Rattus norvegicus: one gene and its partner. The protein of the gene in region 2 binds, or shares a complex with, the protein of the main gene of each other region. Links are inferred from orthologs where the notes say so. Each region holds a gene or a part of one and is shown on either strand. Other genes may lie near its edges.

What was found.
Region 1: Tubgcp2 (region 2) and Tubg2 share a complex: the UniProt entries of both Homo sapiens proteins name them as parts of the gamma-tubulin ring complex. The link is inferred for Rattus norvegicus from reciprocal best matches to the Homo sapiens genes TUBGCP2 and TUBG2.

The regions. Positions count from the first base shown.
Region 1 is NC_086028.1:86,590,440-86,594,681, reverse strand, and holds the start of Tubg2 (tubulin gamma-2 chain), read right to left. Parts: upstream 3,073-4,242; 5' UTR 2,968-3,072; coding exon 2,919-2,967; intron 2,643-2,918; coding exon 2,530-2,642; intron 2,339-2,529; coding exon 2,171-2,338; coding exon of another isoform or gene 2,149-2,170; intron 1,866-2,148; coding exon 1,797-1,865; intron 1,522-1,796; coding exon 1,442-1,521; intron 1-1,441. UniProt on the Homo sapiens protein: Tubulin is the major constituent of microtubules, protein filaments consisting of alpha- and beta-tubulin heterodimers. Gamma-tubulin is a key component of the gamma-tubulin ring complex (gTuRC) which mediates microtubule nucleation.
Region 2 is NC_086019.1:204,228,820-204,232,629, forward strand, and holds part of Tubgcp2 (gamma-tubulin complex component 2), read right to left. Parts: coding exon 3,752-3,810; intron 3,308-3,751; coding exon 3,118-3,307; intron 2,444-3,117; coding exon 2,298-2,443; intron 1,677-2,297; coding exon 1,496-1,676; intron 1,224-1,495; coding exon 1,043-1,223; intron 1-1,042. UniProt on the Homo sapiens protein: Component of the gamma-tubulin ring complex (gTuRC) which mediates microtubule nucleation.

The DNA of each region.
Region 1 (4,242 bases), on a different chromosome or scaffold from region 2:
ACGCCTCAGAAATTGGCACCCAGAGGACAAGCCACGTTCTGTAGGTCCCAAGGGAACATCCCATCTCCCTGCCCAGTTTTTGCTTCCAAGGTGTTCTCTGGATGGTTCTGTCCCGGTGACTCAGGGAGTAGCAAACAAATGAACAAACAAAAACCCAACAACAACACAACAGAACCCCCCAAAACTTCCAGCTCAAGGGGGTAAAGAAACAACGTGGAAAGAGATTATCTAGGAATTCTACTTCAGTTCCTGTTACTGTGACAAACACAGCAAAAAGCAACTTGGGAAAGAAAGGACTTGTTTGACTTTCAGTTTTAGGTTACAACACATTATTTCTGGGGAGTCAAAGCAGGATGTCCACAGTCAAGAGCAGAGGGAATTAAATGCATGGATCCTTGCTTGCTGGCTGGCAGCTAGCTTTCTCTTTTATGCTGTGCAGGAACACCTACCAAGGGAATAGTGCCACCTACAATAGGCCAGGTCTTCCTGTATCAATTAACCATCAGGCCAGTCCCTTCCAGACATGTTAACAGGTCAGCTCAAGGTAGGTAACTCATCAAAACTCTCTTCTTATTGACCAATGAGGTGTTCGCATTTTTTGTTTTTTAGTTATTTTATTATTTTTTTTTTTTTACTTCTACCTTCCTTCCAACCTTTATTTCACTCTGATCCCTTCCAACGCCCCAAACACTAGATATGGGAGAAAGAAGGCTAAAGGGGGAAGCGGTCATAGTCCTCTTTAGACTACTTCCTGCTGATTAGGGCTGTCGAGCTTCTTGGGGCCAGTTCGATCTTCATGTCAGGGTATCTCCAGCTTCCTGTTAACCAACAACAGCAACCAGAAGCGGGGGGTGGGGGAGAGTAGCAGCCTCCCTTCAAGCACCCCTGCCCCTCTCAGGCCTCTGGCATTTATACTCTCTCCAGAGTCCCCAGAATCAAACTATCTGCAGCTGGCAAAGATCACGCCCCTTCCAGTGCATGAGGCAAATCATAATCACCTGCTGGGAAGCAGCCTCTCATCCCACACCTGGGATTAAAACAAAAACATTCACAGAACATAACTGGGTTTTAAAAGAAACCAGGGGCTGGGGATTTAGCTCAGTGGTAGAGCGCTTACCTAGGAAGCACAAGGCCCTGGGTTCGGTCCCCAGCTCCGAAAAAAAGAACCCCCCCCCCCAAAAAAAAAAAAGAAACCAGTCAACAGTAAGGTGACTCAGCGGGTAAGGTAGAGATGCTTGCCACCACAACTTAATGACCTCAGCGGTTCCTGAGATCCACGTGGTGAAAGAGAACCAACCGGCACACGCTGTCCTCTGACCTCCACACGTATGCATCTATGCATGGACAGGTATGCCTCCCCCAAAATAAGCAACAGTGTAATTAAAATATTAACCCGCATACCAAAGAGTCAAGGCTAATGACTTCTTAAACGCAGGCTTACCTGTCATTCAGTCGCTCTAAGAGGTAGGAGCCCAGACCGGAACCTGTCCCCCCAGCAATGGAGTGACACAGCACAAATCCCTGAATGGGGAGAGAAAGAGGCAGTGTCCAGGTATCTCAAAGAGAGACATCAGCCTTGTCTCTGAGGCTCCTTGGAAAGGCTCAGAGACCAAGGAGAGGCTAAGTGACAGCACTGAGATTCTGATTTCCCTGGAACAAGGCAGTGGCTTAGTCACCTTAATGCGTTCTATATGATGTCCCCGAATGGATGCCCAGTTGAATGGCTCCACCGCATCACGTGTTTAAATCCTGCCTGATCTTTTCCCCCAGTCTGTTTCCCTGTGGAACACCCTCACCTCTAGACTGTCACTTCCATCTGCTTCTCGGTCTATGATGTCAAAGATGTCCTCGTGAATTTTCTCGCCCTATATGTAGACATGGGGAAGGGAAAGTCAGGCCAAAGGCTCCTTTCTCAGCACCAAGAACTCCACACTTGGTCTCTGTTGCCATCCTGAAGCTGAGCTTCCCGACTGCAACCTTTCTCAACCCAGAAATGCTACTTTGTGAAAGGATTTACATAAAATTTGCATAACCTTCCAAGTAGTCCCTCTTCTCAACATATCCATTAGTCTCTTTAATAATTGCAAGTCTAGCCTGGACAGATCCCCAGGTTTGTTTGAGCCTTGCCTTATCCCTGGCTAGGATTACCAAGAAAGTCTGGGACTGACACCTGGGAGAATCCCCTGGCCCAGTTGTTGCCAGCCCCTCCTCCATGCTCGGACAGGTAGATGTTCTCTGGGTTGTAGAGCTTGGCATAGGAGGAGTTGAGGATGGAATGGATCACCCGGGGCTCCAGATCCAGCAGCACAGCCCGGGGGATGTAATGCTCATCGTCTGCCTGTCAAAGGGAAGCCAGGATTGGCCCAGGGAGCTAGGATGAGTCAAGTCCCCAACTCTGGTTTCGGCAGGCCCTCCCTCAAGACAGCCATTCTGTTCCCATCTGCCCAGTGACTTTCCCAGCACCATGTGGCTGCCAGTCCCTTCAGGTCTCCAAGGTCCTGGCAAGTTTCTGTGGAGGGGGAGGGGCACCTGGTAGAAAAAGACGTCCTTGCGGTCAGTGCCCTCGGTGGCGAACTCCTCTACGATGCCCTCCGGGCTGATGCCATGCTCAGCACACAGCTGTTTCCAGAATTCGAACCCAACTGGGGGAGGGGGAAAGAGGCCCAAGTCTGCTAGAGCCTTAAGGCCTGAGAACCCCAGGCTCAGAGCCTATTACACTCCAGGAGGTGACCCAAAACGCCTGGGTCTGGAAGATGTCACAGCCCAGGGCTGAGAAGGCAGCTCTTCCCTGAATCATCATGCTCAATAGGAAGGGTGGTCCATGGGAAGGACAAAGGGAATTGATGGGTACCAGGCACTTGAGTGCGGCCCGAGGGATAGAACCAGAGACTAGCGGGGCACAGTGATTGCTTGCTCACTCTGGTTGCCGCACTGGCCCAGCTGCAGGGTGATGATCTCCCGGGGCATCTCCGATCAGACGGGAGCTCGTCTGGCCTGGCCGGGCGGGGGTCACGGCTGAGAGGAACTCCTGCCAGCCAGAGGCGCAGGACATGGGGAACGCGCTGTCCGCCGCTGTTTTGATGCGGGCGCTGTGTCTGCGCGTGTGCAGTGTGGGCTCTCCGCAGCCGGCGGGCGGCAGAGCCCATCCTGGGCATCATTTTCTCTCCTAGCAGTTGCAGCTGGAATTCAGCACAGGCGCAGAGTGAGGCCACGCTTCCTGTCACTATGTGCGCGTGCGCACGGTAACACTTGGCCAGCGGAGGATCCCCAGGGATGTGGGGGAGGAGAGGGAGAAGCGGCCAGGTGGATGCTCCAAGTGTGGGAGTCACCTGCCTACACCTGCCGGATCTGCTAAATTGAGGGGCTATATTTAAGTTGGGGAATTGAACCCATGTCCCCGAGCATGCTAGGCAAGAGCCAAACCACTTAGCTACACATCTAACCCAAGCCAAATTTGTGTGTGTGTGTGTGTGTGTGTGTGTGTGTGTGTGTGTGTGTATTTTTTTTTTTTTTTTTTTTTTTTTTTTGGAGCTGAGGACCAAACCCAGGGCCTTGCGCTTGCTAGGCAAGCGCTCTACCACTGAGCTAAATCCCCAACCCCGTGTGTGTGTGTATTCTTTAATTTTATCTTTTTGTGTATCATGACAGGGTTTCTCCGTGTAGCCTTGGCGATCCTGGAACTCACTCTGTAGACTAGGCTGCCTCGAATACATAGATCTGCTTGCCTTAGCCTCCCAAGTGCTGGGACTAAAAGGGTTCAGCTATTTTCATAGTCTTACACTATGAAAACTATAGAGTTTGTCATCTGGGACCTGGTGTGGTGGCTTGTGCCTTTAATCCCAGCACTTGGCGGGGCAGAGGCAGAGCCCGGAGGATCTTTGTGAGTTCTAGGTCATCCAATCTATTTAATGGATTTCAGGCCAACTGGAGCTACATAGTGAGACCCTGGGTCATAAAATAAATCACCATCTTAGGCTGGCGGGCGTCATAAGGGCCTGTCTGACCAACCTGACAATATCTGAGTTTGATTGTGGGGTCCCCATGATGGAAAGAGAGAATCAAGAACCTACTCCTGGGTTGTCCTTTGACCCCTGTATATGCTTGCTCTTGGAGTATGCAAACTTGCACAGAATAAATAAATATAATTAGAAAGTAGGTCCTGGGCTGGAAAGATGGCTCAGCAGTTAAGAGCACTGACTGCTCTTCCAGAGGTCCTGAGTTCAAATCCCAGCAACCACATGG
Region 2 (3,810 bases):
GCCAAGAGAGGAAGAGCCCATGCAGAATCCCAGCACCATCATGATGTTATAAAACTTACATGAAATAGTGAGGTTAAAACTAAGTAAGAGAGCTGGAGAACCCAGGTTCAGTTCCCAGCACCCACACAGTGGCCCACAACTGTCTGTAACTCCAGGTCCTGGGATCCATGCCTTCCTCTGTCCTCTGCACACATGTGTTGCACAGGTATGTGTGCAAGCAAAATATCCACACATATAAAATAAAAATTAAAAACAAAAAAATCCTAAGCAACAGAAGAAAATCCTGAAAATTTACAACTAAATGGAAACAAATCACTAAAGAAATCATAGAGCCTCTTGAAATAGGGGAAAATAAAGCATCCTAAAATAGCCTAACTTCAAAATTCAAGAAACTACCAACAGAAAGTAGGCCCAAAGCTAACAGAAACAATAAGCTGAAGAGACAAAGAGAAAGGAAGGAAGTACTAAAACCAAGACTGAGTTCCTAAGAACATCAGTGGGACTGACAAGCTCTCACTTCCATGAGCGAGGAAAGAGGACAAACCACGGGACCCAGAGATGAAAGTGGAGTTCTCCTGCAACCTTAGAAACCATAACAGCTCTTACTGCATGGCCGCAAACACACACCCTGTTGATGGCAACAGAAATGTACTGGTGGCCAGGATGAACTCTGGAAGCAGAAGTTATGGAAGACCTCAACCGGCATGAAATGAAGCCTTGATGCAGTATCTCCCAGAGAAAAGAGCCCTGACAGACCCTGAATAACTCACACCACTCCCCAACCTGAGGAAGAAAGAGCATCCGTCCACCTACACTCCGTGAGGGGTTGGCCTGATTTGACACTGACATGGACCAAACTCACAGGAAAATTACAAACAGTGTCTCCTGTGAGACCAGACACAAATCTCTTAACAAAATGCTTGCAAGCCAGTGTCCTCTGAAATAGGAAGAACATCCGGTAGGACACCCTCACTGGGCCCTGCTATGTGTTCACTCCAGTGTAGCGGAAGCAAGGTGCCATGATGGTAAACACCACACTCACCTTGAGGTCGTCTTTGAAGGGGTCAGTGTTGGCAGTGCTCATTCTCAGGGCCAGCTCCAACAGAGCCTCCAGGCGTGTGGGCGTAATGTCCTCTACTGGCTTCCTGAGCTCCTCCTCAGTCAGGTCCATGAAGTGCACAAAGAAGTCCCCCTGGTCCATCAGGAAGTAGCGCTTGATGGACCTGTGCCAGGGTTGTTGAACATATAACCTGACCTCTGCCTTCAACATACAAGGAAGAGGTTTGAGACATGGAGCTGCTCTGCTCAGACACGGAAGGGGAGGGACTGACAGCAAGGAGCTGAGAGACCTGTTGGCTTGCATGGTCTGAGAACTAGAGAACGGAAACCCTGCCACCTCACACTGGGGCTGCAGGGAGCCCTTATAGAGATAAAAATGTAGTTGCTAAGAGGAACATTCTACTTTCAGCCCCTTGGATACAAAGTGAAGTCCAACCTCAGGTGGGCCACCAGCTCCTTCTCCTCCATGAGGAAGTCCAGCAGCACTTTGCTGGCATAATTGAACGCTTTCTCAATCTGCTCCACATATGCCCGCTCTTTGAGGGTATAGATGATCTCTTTGGCTACGGGACAGGTGACATCATGACCACATTCTCTGACCACATTTAGGTATTTTCCTGAGAACAAAAAGAAAAAGGAAGGTGGACTCAGTATCCCTGTACATGCTGAGTCTCAGGCCTGGGCCTTTATGACGCCAATCAAACATGGGGAAGTAGGCCAGACATGAGGTACAATTTGTTTCCTGGAAAGATTGTGCAATAGTTTTTCAGGTCTGTATTTTATAGGAAGGATTTTGAAAAGCCTTGAGAGATAGATTGCTAAGTAATCTCCTAGCCCTTTCTGATTCTGTTCAGCTTTCAGAGCAGAGCACTATGTTAAGGCCCCAAGGATTTGCCTAATCTCTACATCAGTCCCTATCCTGTGCAATAAAACTAAAAGATGCAGCTGGCCTGGAAGGTGTGGGTTCCTCATGGCTTTTCTTTGCTATATGATGGAGTTAGATGTAAAACCCAAGATAGAAGGCTTTGTCTGAGGCAGACAGCGTCCTGATTAGGGGGCTGAATAAAGTGATGGAGAACTAGGGCCAACCAGTGGCTAGAAGCTCAGGGTAGTAGGCCATTCCCAGCTAAGTCATCTTCAGGGGCAGAGGGCCTGGAAGGCTGTGATGACCCACGGGTCCCATGACACAGCATGAAGAGGCCATTGACCTCCTTGGAGAGCGGTCCAAGCATAGTCACCTGTGCTGAGGATCTTGCCTGCTACCTTCTGCAGGAAGGATGGGATCTGCTGTGGCAGCACAGTGTAGCGCTGGTCCCAGTACTTGTCATTGTAGTCCTCCTGTATCTTCTCCTTCCGCAGCTCGTGCTCCTCCACCATGAACTCACTGGAAGTCACAGTGTTTCAGGCCACTACAGGACAAGCCTGGACAACCTCGGGGTGGTCACATACTTCCAGCCTTACTTGGGAGCAGGAGTCTAATTTGCAGAGCTGGGTGGCTTCTTCCCTACTCTTGCATTATGGCAACAGGACAGACATATGGCTTGTCCTGGGTACACAGGTTTATCAACAACAGAATCAGACCCTCCCACAGAGCTTCAAGAACCATTTACCTGTGGCCAGAAGGAAACCGCGTCCCCTACTAGGCCCATCACACCAAATTCTCCTGTTTGGCCCCTCCATAAAGAAACACAAGGCCCACCCTACGGTAGAGCACACGCAAGGCCTGGGCTTCACACGCAAGGCCTGGGCTTCACACGCAAGGCCTGGGCTTCCTTCATCCCCAGTTCTCTATCAACTGGTCATTTGCTTTACATAATCAAAGGCATCATGCTCAAGTGACACACTATTCAACCACGTGGAAGCAGTAAGGACGTGGGCTCCAGAGTTAATACCAGTGTTCCTCATTCAACAGACAAAGCTGCAAGGCAGTGAGTGAGTGACACACGCTCCTCAGCTCACAGCCATTGTGTTGATGTTGAGGACTTGTGTCTGGCACCCGCAGAGCCTACTGCACCGTGAGCGTCCAAGTGAAAGGTGTCTGGCACCCGCAGAGCCTACCTGTATGGGTCGTGAATGACGCCTCTGTAGATCCACTCCTCCAGGATCTCAAAGTAAGGAGCGCTGGCCGCCTTGGTCAGATAGAGGCACAGCTCCTGCGCCTGGCTGTCCCCTGTGTAGTTGAAGCTCCTATCATGGAGAAGGCTCAGCGTCGACCCGCCAACACACTCGCCTTTATCCACGGAGGTGGCTGTGGGCAGAAAGGGGTGGCTCACTACCCAGACATCTAAGCACCCCTGGTGGATAGGAGCCCCAGCAAGCCAGGTACCATGTTCCGATGCCAAGGCTACAGTTGCTAATAAGACTGATCAAGAAAAGCCTCCAGGCCTAGCACGGTGGCACACGCCCAAACCTCAGCACTTGGGAGGCTGAAGCAAGGCGACTGCAAGTAAGAGGCCAGTGCGGACTGTACAACTGAGTTCGCTAACTAGTCTAGAACACAGAAGAGGACCTTGTTTCAACAACAAGAGAAAGGAAATGCACTGGAGCCTTCCTTATATAGGTCACTAAAACAAGATGTGACAAGAACTTTGCCTTGCCACCATGCCACCAGAGAGCGTTATGAATGACCAGCCCCAGACAGAATGGCCCTGCCATGCCTTAGGGAGCCCTCCACCTGCCAGCAGGTCCGCACCAAGGGAGGCCAGGATGTCAATGGTACGCATGGCTGGCTGGATGTAGAACCAGAGCTTC